2 linked regions of the Bombyx mori genome follow. Each later gene encodes a partner of the first gene's protein in a complex. Links are inferred from orthologs where the notes say so. Each region holds a gene or a part of one and is shown on either strand. Other genes may lie near its edges.

The links.
Region 2: negative elongation factor B (region 1) and negative elongation factor E share a complex: the UniProt entries of both Drosophila melanogaster proteins name them as parts of the NELF complex. The link is inferred for Bombyx mori from reciprocal best matches to the Drosophila melanogaster genes NELF-B and Nelf-E.

What each region holds. Positions count from the first base shown.
Region 1 is NC_085125.1:6,338,553-6,345,580, forward strand, and holds negative elongation factor B, read right to left. Parts: upstream 3,835-7,028; 5' UTR 3,680-3,834; coding exon 1,916-3,679; 3' UTR 1,839-1,915; downstream 1-1,838. Other genes in the region: CWF19-like protein 1, read left to right, coding at 4,655-4,671, 4,750-4,910, 5,165-5,263, 5,402-5,625, 6,237-6,352. UniProt on the Drosophila melanogaster protein: Essential component of the NELF complex, a complex that negatively regulates the elongation of transcription by RNA polymerase II.
Region 2 is NC_085110.1:10,969,182-10,976,391, reverse strand, and holds the start of negative elongation factor E, read left to right. Parts: upstream 1-2,344; 5' UTR 2,345-4,863; coding exon 4,864-5,131; intron 5,132-5,228; coding exon 5,229-5,382; intron 5,383-6,966; coding exon 6,967-7,131; intron 7,132-7,210. UniProt on the Drosophila melanogaster protein: Essential component of the NELF complex, a complex that negatively regulates the elongation of transcription by RNA polymerase II by RNA polymerase II. The NELF complex, which acts via an association with the DSIF complex, causes transcriptional pausing.

The sequences.
Region 1 (7,028 bases):
GGAAGTTGGTCCAATCGCTCAGTTCGTTCACAAATCTTGTTGTAAGCGGACGCGTCAAGAGCAAGAGCAAGAAGAACCGGGGCGAACCCCACTGCTCGGGCTGAAGCTCCCTGCCACTCAGGGCAGGGGTGAGGTGTGTGCAGGATGAGATGGGCTGTTCGTAGCGTGCTAGCGTGCTCAGCACATCGACATAAATATACATAATGCCGTGCTGATGTCTGATTTTTTTTCCTGTATATCCAGAGCTATAAAAATGAAATTTGCTTGTGAAATAAGAAAAGAAAAGATTATCATGACGACAACAAGAAAAATGATAGACTAATTATTAAGTACAAACCTATTGATCCTAATGCCAATACGGATACGGTAGTAAAGAAATTAAATAGCCTCCGGACTTCTTACAAGAAATAACTCGACAAAGCCAAAGTTTTTAAAATCCGGAGCCGGAGATTAAGTCTATGTTCCTCGTTTGTGGTACCTATTTCGACTTGATGAATTTTTCACATGATGAAGAAATACCAAGGCGGTCTATATCAAATATGGAGGATGAAAATGATTATTATTGACTAGCTGGACCCCGTGGTGTTATCCGCGGTACTACAATAATCGCGGGAAGTGCCGCGGAGTGAGCCGCCGCGCTAGTCTAAAAAGTAGCCTAAGCTACTCTTTATATCATCAGCTACCTATCAGTGTAAGTCGCGTCAAAATTGGTCTGTTTTTTAGACTAAATTCAAAATTTCAACTTATTTAATAAATTTATGTGAGAGTATGACTTTCTTTTAAGAAGCCACTCCTTACACCACACACTACGTGATTTTTGCACGAAATAAGCCAGGCTATCGCAAGCGCGTCATCATTTTCTATCGCGGACGACATGTTTACAGTCTGAGCTTCTGCAGAGAACTGACGATCGATGCAGATATCGTTGACGTGTGGACTGTGGACACTCAACGGACGTACGATAAACTGTGCAGTCACATCGCTACGATAAATCGTTGTAGTGTATACCGACCATAGCATTGCAGAAACAGTTCGCAATATCAATGTTGCGTTTGGAGAGGGGGCTGCTACTGAACGCACCGTGCGATTTCGGTCTAAACGCTTTCGTGATGGAAATTTTTATTTCAAGAACGAACCACGTGGAAGACCGCCCACACATGTGAATAAAAATGAAGTAAAAGAGATGGTAGAAGCTGATCCGAGCTAAAGTACCCAGGAATTAGCGGCTTAGTTTAACGTTACCTTACCAACAATACTCATGAATGAAAATTTTGAAAAGAAGAACATCATAGGTACCATTTGAAAAACGTTTCACTCAAAAATCTCAAACCATGAAGGTTCTATGTCAATTCGAAGTACCTATTACAATACAACAGCAATTTCATACTTTAACCCCTATTATATTAGTTACCTACATAATTACCAGCACTATCATATTTATATTAATTGTACGAGTAATAGATCTTTGCCTATGAAATTGCCGTTTTATAATATTGCCGGGACACGTAAATAGTAATTATGGAAAACGAGTTTCGTCGCGGCATCAATGCCGCAGAAACGCCTCACAACATTAATGACGTGTATAGAGTGAACACTGGAGACGAACGCACGGTTTGGTGTTGGTTTAAATGCTTCTGTCAGGGAAATTTTGGTCTCCCTTTGGTCAACCTTAAAAACAAAATTATTGCCCTTTTATGCAGACATTCTAATGGACCCCCTTTGTAACCATCGCTCATGGACGAAAGCAATGCCAGAACCACAGACAATCAACTGACTGCTGACTTATAAATCTAAGAAAAGACAATAATTTTGTTTGGAATGTTTTGCAAGAAAACATGTTTTAAATTGTTTTAATATTTATATAATTTATATAATGTCTATAACTTAAAAGTAAATAATGAACAATGAATATTTGCTACATATGATATGGTGCTGGCGTGCGTACACTCATTAACGGGGAGTCCAGATATTCCATTTCAGTTGCACTCGGACCGGGTTCTGTTTGCGCATTTAATTTCTGTTGTAAAGTCTCATATAATTTATGTACAGATTCATTATGCTGAGTTCCAGGCTGCAGCGCTTTCATAAGAGTTTGAATTCTAGTCTCTGGTAATTTTGGATGAATATACCACAGCAATTTCAATAAGTGTCTTGTCACATTATCCTTAGATAGTCCAGCAAAGAAGAATTCATCAAATAATACAGTACTAAAATCTTCTCCTTGGAACTCATCAGGTAACTGTACTAGAAGTGCCACTAAAGCATGCAAAAATGGGTCTTCATATGCTCTACCATCTTTACAACTACCGAGAATACTAAGAATGCGAAGTAAGGCACCACGGTCACGTAATTTGGCTGCATGCAGTGTGTAGTACATTGCAATAACACCACAAACTGAGCTTTCTCTCATATAGGCTTCACAAGCATCAGGTGGAGGTCCCGAGTGCTCTATCGTAGTGATGGCAGACTCTCTTTCATCTGGAGGTAACTTATTATGTAGTGCTCTCACTTGATCATCCACCATCAATGACATCAAGGCAGGCAAGTATTTTGTGACACATTGACTATCTAATTTTGGCTCTTTGAATTCTTGAGAATCGATCATTACCCAAGCGCTCAACCCTAATGCCAACATTCTTAGCAGTAGTATTAAAACTGTACTATCTCGAGGTAGCCCTTCAGTGTTTATTAAATGTTGTAAAATTTTGATAGCTGACGTTGCTAAGAAATTGATAGCATAAGGGTCGCATAACGTCATAGAAAGATCTCCTAGAACTTGCTCCTGTCCCTTTTTAATACTGTCTAAAAAACCTTGCAGTTCCCTAGATCTTTTAATGTCTACATTCCTTTCCCTGATACAAGCATCCAAACACCATGTGAATTTATGACAAGGGTCTACAGATATGATGTCTTGAACTTCTAGGTCATGCAAGGCCATGAGAAGCTCTGCTCTTAATGTACAATAATGAACATTTCTAGTTCTTAAGAATAATGTTCTCAGGAATTGTAACACCATGTCATATAACTTAACACTAGTACCTATCATGTGGGCAAGTTTCTGAACAACTGCACCTTGTCTCCTTACTTTTGGGGAAGGGGAAAAAAATAGATTTGTAAGATTTTCATGATCAAACAGAACATCTTCTTTCTCCCTGATGTACTGACTGAGGAGTGGAGAAACTTCATCTCCAAACAGTGACTGGTTGTCTTGCCATATTTGACGCTTCACCTCAGTATCTGTGTCATTGTACAGTTCTCTGTCGCGAACTAGTACCCTTAGATACTTATCATCTATATGTGGGATATTTTTAAGAATACCCATTATAACAGGTCTTAAAGCTTTAACTCTGACGACTGGGAAGCTTTTAGATAGCAGTTCTTTGAGTTTTTTGTCATTATCCTTGTTATCTTTATTGCCAAGCTCGTTGATGTGGGCAATGAGTTTTTCACGTAATTCCTCCAGAACTGATGTATGAAAGTCAAGCCGCCGAACGCCATGGAGGTCTAGTAAAGGCAGCATCGGCCTTAAAGAAGGCAATAAAATACCGTTTTCAAGTTGAAACTCTTCAATAGCTTTCAATGGGTCGGTACAGCTTGTCAGAGCATCTCGCAAGAAAGTTTGTCCTGGTACTCCCACTTCTTCTAGACCAGTGCCTGGTAGTTTACTTGACGACGCCATCGATCTTAATTTAATTCAGTTTTTCAGTTCATTTAATAAATCAACACAAATAAATCTTAAATAAAGTTAACAACAACAGAAAATAACATAAATTAGTTTCCTGCTTAGAAATTATTGACAAGCAACTGACATTAAGCATATATTGACGTTTGACATCGAGCAGTAGTTTTATTTTTTTAACTGGAAAGGCAAATATGTCATACCATACGCCTACTCATATATATTCTTATATATGAAAAATGAAAATTTGAAGTGAAATAAAATGAAGTTGGTTAATTAATAACATGGTATGAAATACAATGAGATGAGATGATATGGGATGAAATATAATCTCAGTAAAATGGTGGTTATCTACTAAGGCTTTTTAAGTGGACTTTTTGGAGATCCCGAGAATTTACGTCCAGCGGCTTTGTTTCATTTTCCCACATTTGTGCAATTTCACAGATATTAAACAGCTAATAAACCACCGTTATTACTTTTTTTTTTAAGAGATTTTATGACCTGGTAACTGTGACTTTTAAGTCATGTCTTATTTTAATCTATATTCTTGATTTTATGAAAAATGATATTATGGAGTGAAATGAAATGAAAATGATTAATTTGAGACATTAATCAACTAGGATGAAATTAAATGAGATGATATGAGATGAAATCTAATCTCAGTAAAACGGTGGTCATTTACTAAGATTTTTCAGTGTACTTTTTGGAGGAGCCCGAGAAGTTAAGTCCAGCGTCTTTGTTTCATTTTCCCACATACCGTTATTACACAAGTGAAAACGTTTACAGATTAAAAGCCGTTCAATATTATTTGTAATCTCTTCGTAGTCTGTCATTATCATAATTATTGTGTTTTATTGGCTCAAACGACTCGTTACCAAGCCTTAAATTCTATAAAATTGACAGTGTTTTATCTAAAATCTAAAAGTTTGTATCAATCAAATTACCAATTTAAATGCCTTTCACTTGTGTATAAAAATGGATAAACAGAAAACGTAATTACTGATTGGTTTTCGTCTTAGTTTGAAAGCAATGCAAACAACTGAAATGAATTAATACATACTGCTTTTCAGATTAATATGTGGAGATGTAAATGGGAATTTCAATGCTTTGTTTACGCGCGTAGAATCGATTGTGAAGAAATCTGGACAGTTTGATTTGCTTTTATGTGTTGGAACATTCTTTGGAGATGATAATTCACAACTGGATGCATATAAAATGGGAACGAGGAAAGGTAAAAACGTTGACTTAAAATTTTTAATACGATAGAGATGGGCTCATTAGTTTACGGTCGACCCGGTATGAGATAGTCATTGGAACCTCTACATGTTTCATATTGATAATAATTATACTGTCGCTTATACTACCACGTGAGGATGAAGCATCAACATTATTGAGGCATTGGAATTGGTCAATATTAATTTGGGTGGGTTATGAATACATTTTTTTCTGACTATATATTTTTTTATCAACAATCTCAAATTACAGTTCCAGTGACAACCTATGTTTTTGGTCCATCAAATCCAGACCATGTACATCATTACTGTGAAGAAGGATCTGAAATAGTACCTAATGTTATTTATATGGGTAAGAACAGTTTTGAAACATTTGAAAATATGCATAGAGTTACATTATTATTTTTATTAATTACAATAAACAAATAAATGGAATGCTAATTATAGGGAAAAAAAAGAATTTGAAAATAATAATATGTTATTGTTTCAGGCCGAAGAGGTCTTTTCAACACAAGTACCGATGTGAAAATCGCATACTTGACAGGTTTATCAAGGCGAGAGCTTGGTAAAGACGTTCCTATGTGTACTTATGAGCCCAGTGACTGTAGTGCTGTCAGAGATGCATGTTTCAGAGGACAGAGTGAATTTAGAGGAGTAGATGTATTGATAACAACATTATGGCCATCGGGTATACAACAGGATGAATGTCAGACGGTGATTTATTTATTGCACATTGAACTCAACAAAACCTATTTTTTGTTTGATTAAAGTTAGATCAGATATTAAAAGTTGTGCAGCTTAATTTCATATTTTATATTACAATTTTATATTATATATTATAGTAACAGCTTTCATAGTATAACCAAACAAACAAGCTGTTTTAATGATGTGGAAAATATTTAATGTCCTATAAGAAGCAATTCAGGCACCAAGATTATTCACTATCAGATGGGGTGTGAGCATGTCTGAACCATCTGCAAGCCATAATAATAGTGTATTGAAAAATAAATTTAAACCTATTTGAAACGAACAAACAGTAAATTTGTCTCGGGTGATCAGCTTAATTTATATTCAGTTTTATCATGAGGTCCTAATAATTACTAATTAGTAATATAATATAATAAAATTAGTAATATAAAATATTAATCATTAATATTAATTAATTATATTTAATTAAAATTAAAATTTATTAGAATTAAATAATTTTATTATTAACTAATAATTAATAATAAAATTATTAATACGAACTGATAATAACACATAGAATGATCCTATTTAAAACACAACAAATGTATAAGTATACTATATTATTGAATTTGTTTCAGGTAGATGTTGAGCAAGATCGACTTTCAGATTTACTATCATGGCTTGCAATACATATAAAACCAAGATATCATTTTGTGCCATCAAAAGACAAGTTCTTTGAACGGCAACCATATAGGTTAGTGCTTTTACTAAATTAATGCCAAATTATAACATAATATGTGATGGGAGGGACATGATTGATAGGGCTTGATTGGGATGGTATGTCTCTTTTTCACAAAGTTAATTGGTACAGAATTTTCATCTCCATTCAGTTTGAAAGGATTACATACGATTCATATTTATCGCAAAAAAAAAACAGTCATCAGAATTCAATTTTAAGATCCTTTTAAGTCTCAATGAGCATATAAAAAAGATGATGGAAAGCGGTGATTATTAGAACCTGGCATACAAGCACTCAGTAAAATACACACTTTGTATTTTATATTAGTAAATTTAATTAAGTCATTGTGGCCTAGAGAACAAGATGACTGGTATTATTCTATTTACTGGTATTATTGAGCAATGCCACTAAGCTAGTCTTCGAGTGGCAGGTAGAAATTTTGCTAATATACTTAACAAATGTTCACGAATGACTTCCACGGTGAAAAAATAACATTATACAACAAAATGAAACTTGTATAATTCACAATTTGTGTAATTACTGATGGTAGAATATCTTGTGAGCCCCTACGGTTTGATATCATCACCCTGTCTATTTCTGCCGTTGTACTTTAAACTTAAGATTTAGAAGTAACGTTTCTAAGTGAGTGGCGACATTCATGATGTGATGCGTATAAGAGCCATGAGCTCGT
Region 2 (7,210 bases), on another chromosome or scaffold:
TGTCTAAATTGCGTCCCACTCCATGTTCCTCACACACTAAACCATCACCTTTCATATTTAAAAATCTTTCCACCGCCTCTCATGTCATGCTCAGGGAGGATTCGGTTAGACGTTCAATGCAACCACCTTACTCTGGTCCTCATAGAGTTATATCTAGAGCCGAGGACGGAAAAACGTGGCCGATTGATGTAAAAGGGAAACAGGTGACGGTCAGTGTCGACAGAATTAAGCCAGCTTTCGTCGAGCATTCTTTAGTAGATCTCGTTCCAGCACCAGCACCGCGGGTTTCTGTGCCTCAACCAGCGCAACCGGATGCTACTAATGTCCCTTCATGTCCACTCGTGCCTTTGGCACCTCTAACTGCTACTCCTACACATACACCTCAATATACCACCCGGTCAGGTCGCAGAGTCCACTTCTCCAAACCTTTCGACCTATGATAATTTTTCTCTTTTTCTGCGGATTCTCCTTCTCCGTAGGGGGGTGGTGTGGCGTTTTATTATGCGTAAGCCGGAACGCACGAGATGTGGGAAAAAGGATATAGTCTGTGAGGCAATACCTTTTTACCGCCAAATATGAAAAACATAAAAATAATTTATAATGAGTTAAATAACTAATTTAATGTAATTACTTTATGCCGCTACAACAATAAAATTTATATTGTTCCAATTGTGGTGTTAATTACATAAAACACGACCAGGCGAAATAAAGAAGGGACTCTATATGCACTCCCTCAACCAGTTTATTAGCTTTTTAGACAATTCCCGTAGCAAACAAAATCTTCAAGAACTAATCAAAGACTATACGGATCATATCCTGGATCTAATTGATATGTGCACGTTTCTCCGCACTAAAATGAATTTAAATAGAAATCTCAAAAATAGGTGTACAAGATTAGTTAAGAAACTAGAACTTATCAAACTGTTAGAAGCCAGTAGCAAGCCATAGTCTCTTTTATTTCATATTTTCTTAAAAATAAGGTAAGTGATTTATTTGACATAATGAAAATTTTACAGTGGAATGTTAACGGTTTTCATAGACGATTGGAGAATATACAACGTATATTAAATTATATTGACCCTCTTTGTATTTGTATCCAAGAAACTAATTTAAAAAATAACTACTGTGCTAAGTTGAAGAATTACTTATATTCATTTTTTCAAAAATCGATCAAATAGCAGTATAGCTAGTGGCGGAGTAGCTACTTATGTAAAATCACACACACTACCCAAAGAGGTCGATATTATAAGCCCACTAGAAGTGATAGCAATAAGAATAGAATATCCTTTGGCTATTACAATATGTAACGTCTATTTGCCCAATAGCTGCCCCTTAAGTGAAAATGACCTGAATAATCAAAAAAATCAGCTTCCAACACCTTTTGTATTATTGGGTGACTTTAATAGCCATCATTTTTATTGGGGTTCAGATCACTGTGATCTGAGGGGTAAAATTATATCTGGCTGGTTAGATGTAGACGAAAATATGATTCTTCTCAATACTAATCTGCCCACACACATTATTAATAGCAATGGTCACACTAGCAGTATCGATTTAGCCTTCGCTTCGCGAAGTATATCAACTTCCTTTGACTGGTATGCATTAGACGATCTATACGACAGTGATCACTACCCTATTAAGATTACATTAAAGATAGATTTAAGCCCTGTCAACCAAAACGCCCCGCAACACTTTAAATATCAAATGGCAAACTGGTCTAACTGATATAGGAATTAAAATTAACCAACTAAATAAAGTTACACCCGAATCCCTAACCAAAATTAATGAACTAGTTGATGAATTTAATCAAATACTTCTCGATTCAGCGGAAAAACATATACCTAAAACAACAGGGAAAATTAAAAAGAAACAAGTGCCATGGCGGAATGACGAGTGTGATAAATCACTTAAAGAATCTAAAAGAGCATATAGACTATACAAAAAAGAAAAAAGAAAAGCCGAATATTACCAAAATAGTCCAAATTGTTTGGAAGATCCTCAAAATCTTCAAGATTCACTTAAGATAGATTACAAAAGAAAAAGAGCCAATGCTAGAAGAATATTTAAAGAAAGCAGAAAGAAAAGTTGGGAAAATTTTATCACTTCCATTAATAGTTACACTCCGCCAGGGATTGTATGGCAAAAAATAAACGCTATTAATGGACAAAAAAGGCAAAAAACAAACAATAGTCTTAAAATACAATGATAGACAGTTAAGTGGTGATCCAAAAAATAACTCTGAATTATTAGCGTCTGCTTTTGCTGCAAACTCTAGCTCGAATAATTACAGCCAAGAATTTCTACTTTTTAAAAAACAAATAGAGGAGAGTAATAATGTATTCGATTTTTTTGATAATATTAACTCAATCAATCAGAATATTACAATTCATGAAGTGTTTTTCCATTTACACCAATTAAAACACTCTAGCCCAGGACCAGACAACTTATCTAACACCTTAATCAAAAACCTTCCACTCGTGGCCCTAGAACGACTCCTTGACATTTACAACTTCATTTAGCTCAATCAAGTATTTCCTGATAAGTGGCGAGAAGCCATTGTTATACCGATTCCGAAACCGGGGAAATTACCAACCTTAACTTCCAGTTACAGACCCATATCGCTCACTTGCAATTTGTGTAAATTACTCGAAAAAATCGTAAGTAATAGATTGAGATGGTATTTAGAACAGAATCAACTAATATCAGCAGTTCAATTTGGTTTTAGACAATATAAGTCAACATTAGATCATCTTGCGTATTTGGAAAACGAAATATTAACATCCTTTGCAATTAAAAATAAGGTTGTGGCGGTTTCCCTGGATTTGGAAAAGGCTTATGAAATGGTGTGGAAACACAGAGTCTTGTTACTCCTGGAACAGATGAGTATTAAAGGTAACACCCTAGCCTTCGTTAGAATTTTTTTAGAAAACAGGAGGATTAGGGTTAAGATAATGCTAATCTAAAAATATTAGGTTTAATTTTTGATCAAAAACTGAACTGGGTCGACCACATAAAAAAACTAAAGTCAGATTGTTATAATAGACTCAACGTTATCAAAATTCTGTCAGGAAGTAGTTGGGGCTCAGATAGCACATGCATTTAAGAATACATACAAAGCATTGATAAGGCAAAAAAATTACTATGGCTCTGTTATTTATGAGGCTGCATCTTCCAATATTTTAAAAACCCTAGAAAGTATACCACAACACTAGTTTAAGATTAAGTCTAGGAGCCTTCAGAACAAGCCCAATAAATAGCATTTTAGTTGAGGCAGAGGAAATGCCACTAGCTTTTAGGAGAAAAGAGTTATGCCTATCATATGCTACTAACCATATAACAAACAACAAAGATTCATTTATACTAAAGGACCCTGTACCATCGGATATAGAATTTAGGCTACAACCAACCCTTTCATCTCCTTTGAGGATAAGCATTAAAAAATACCTCGCAGAAATAAATTTTGATTTTCCCCTGGTTTTTCCACGTAAACACCACTATTATCCCCCGTGGTACCAATCAAATTTCACAATAAATATGGAAATAGCTCAAAATAATCCCCGAAACACCACATCAGATTATATGTACAAGGATCTTTTCTACGAAATTAAAAATAACCACTCGGACTTCAAGATGTACTACACGGACGGCTCAGTCTGTGAAGGTAGATCTGGTTGCGCTATTGTATTAGAAAATTATATTTGGAAGAATAGACTCCAAGACTATACCTCTATATTCACATGCGAAGCAGTTGCTATACTGGAATGCTTAAACATTACCTATTAAGACAAACACAAATCACAAAAAATATATAGTTTTCACTGATTCAATGTCTACCCTCATGGCCCTTTCAAATACTCACAACAAAAATCCCCATATTATACTGATCAAGGAAATTCTAACCGGGGTTATAGCTAAAAATTACATAATAAAGCTAATCTGGATTCCTAGTCATCAAGGCATATCTGGAAATGAAAGAGCTGACACAGAAGCTAAGAGAGCCACAAAGCTAGCCCAATGTAATTACTTTATTTCTAATATACAGGATCTTAAAAAACACATTAAATGGAAGACTCAAACACTCTGGAACAGCTATTGGGTAAAAGATAATAAAAGTGCTTTATATGATATATAAGAAAATCAATTTTTTAAAGAAGGAAATTTCAGATTAATTATATTAATATTAGAAAAGATCAATTAGTTTTAAATAGGTCACTGTAACATTACCCACATCCATCTTATTACAAAAGAAGAAATAAAAAATGTAGTCGATGTGATAGCAATATATATATCTATTAAGCATTTACTAATTGAGTGCCCAATGTTTAATGCAGAGAGACATACTACTGCCTTGCCTATGTGTTTGTTTGACTGTGTGTTTAAATAATAATGTAAAATGTACTTTAAAATTCCTGAAAATTATAGATTACCATAGATAAATTTAATTATAAGGTTACAGTGGTCGTTAATGACCATTGCTGTTAAAAAGCGACCTTAAATAAACAAATAAATAAAAAAAAAAACATAAAATTCTGTAAAAAAAATTAAAAAAAAATTACCTAGTGTCTGCGATGTTCTTTTTTTGTATTAAAATACGTGTGATTCAGAACTTTTGAACGTTAATGTATCTCATATTGCTGTATAAGTTACGTTGCCTTTGCCTGTTCAGTGGAACAAACAAACAAAAGAATCTGTAAACAAGTGATAAAACAAAATTTAGAATTATAACCGTGAATTAATAAACCGTGAATAAATAAAAATTATATTAATTTAGGTACATACAAATTATAATTATTAGTATCTTTATACTTTTATAAATTGCCTTTTCTGACAGAAAATTAAACTTTTATGTAAACAAATTTAAAAATGGTCTATTTACATTTTCCTTCGAACCTAACCGAGGAAGAACTAATGCTACAAGCTAAATACCAGAAACTAAAAAAGAAGAAGAAAGCTTTGCAAGCCCTTAAGGCACCAAAACCCGAACCAGAAAAGCCAATTTTACCAAAAAGGCCTACAGAAGCCAGAGATGCCAGGGAAATAGCTAGAAAATTGCTGAAAAGTGGTGCTATTCAAGCTATTAAAAGTCCTCCAACTCAGCCACAGAACACCACTTTCAAAAAACCACGTGCAGGTAGATTGTTATCTCAGAACACTTTAATTTGATATTTTTTTTATAAATGTTTGATAAACGATAATAATGTAGTGTAAACTCAAATTCTTGGTTTTAGGTCGAGAAAGGAAATTAAGTGGTTCTGCTGGAGTACCTGGAGGTGTTGCTTCATATCAACCATTCAGTGCTTCACAAGAACCTCCACCTCAAGAAGAGAAACAAACTCCAAGAGTTAAATATCTTTATGACTCTTTTGTCACTGCCAGAGAAAAGTAAGGCAAAATAATCAATAACTTTTCAATTCAATATCAATTTTGATATTCATATTAGGTTGGCAAAAAAAGATTTTAAAAGTTATAAGTCAAAACTTCTACCACAATCTCTTTGGCAATACTTTTAAAAAATAGTTTACCGTCTTTTTATCTAGCGTGTTTATGTCTGACAAAATCATTGAATGTATTAGTGTGTTTATGTCTGACAAAATCATTGAATGTATTGTTCAGAAAAAATTGTGTTTGTTTGTATGTATGTATTCTAATTTAAAAAATTAATGTTAAAAAATTAAATACATTTGAATTTTTCAGTATAAAAGCAGATAATATATACAGATATAACACAAACTATGAAAAAAGTTTATGACTTTTGTGAACTTAACACAGTGTTAGTAAAAGTAGCACAAATTCAGTTTAAGCATTTTCAGTGTGTGCTTTTTTATGTCGAATGAAAACACTGGCTCAGGTTATTATAGATTTACTCAATGCAATAAAAAAAAAGATATAAGATCAGAATACTACTATTTATGAAATAGTTGAAGAGCTACGAGTTGACCACAAAATAGTTTTTGCCCATTTGAAAAATACAAAATAGTAAATACAAAAAAGTCTGCAAATACAACAAAGCTTGACATTTGGTCAGTATATGAGCTCACTGAGACAAAACCAAATCAAGCATGTACACATTTGATAGTACACAATTTGGTAGAAATTTCCATTTATTTAAAAAAGATTGACCACTAGTTGTGAAATGTGGATTGCCAGACAACAAGAACATGCGAAAACGATCAGTAAAAGACAATTTAGCTCCACAGACAATAGCAAAACTCAAACTAACTCACATAAGGTGATGCTAAAGTTGTCGCGGCCTAAAGGATAAGACGTCCGGTGCATTCGTATCTAGCGATGCAACGGTGTTCGAATCCCGCAGGCGGGTACCACTTTTTGTAATGAAATATGTACTTAACAATTGTTCACAATTGACTTCCACGGTGAAGGAACAACATCGTTTAATAAAAATCAAACCCGTAACATTATAATTTACGTAACTACTGGTAGTAGGACATCTTGTGAGTTCCGCACGGGTAGGTACCACCACCCTGCCTATTTCTGCTGGGAGCAGTAATGCGTTTCGGTTTGAAGGGTGGGGCAGCCGTCGTAACTATACTGAGACCTTAGAACCCATATCTCAAGCATTTACGTTGTAGATGTCTATGGGCTTGAGTAACCACTTAACACCAAGTGGGCTGTGAGCTTGTCCAACTATCTAAGCAATAAAAAATTCTGTCTATTGTGATATTGGATGGGTCTCTTTCATTATAAGCTTTTACCATTGGGCAAAACGCATCATTTTTAATCTCTACTCTGCCAACAGCTGATGAGAATCAAGCAAAAAATAGAGAAAAACTCAGAAATAATGTATTTCAGTACTAAAAACAACTACATTGTAACACACATACATATAAGTATTGAATGAATAAATGTAATTGTTACTTAATTTTGGAGCTCATGAAATGCGAGACTAAACTTTTGTGAATACCTACACCTTATTTCACTTTTAAATAAACCAATAATTATTTTTAGGGACGACAAAGGCTCACGCACACCCAATCCAGGTGGCAGTACACCGTCTCAATCAGATGGTCGCAGTTGTACTTTACAATTGGTCGGTCAACGGATATCTGAAGAGATATTGAGGAGACGCCTGGCTACTTTTGAGCCCTTTGCATTCATGCCAAAAGATGACAAGTAAGTGTATTTTAAGACTAGTTAGTTGCTTAAATGAATGTTTGTACCGATATCTCATAAACCTTTTTTAAATCTAAAG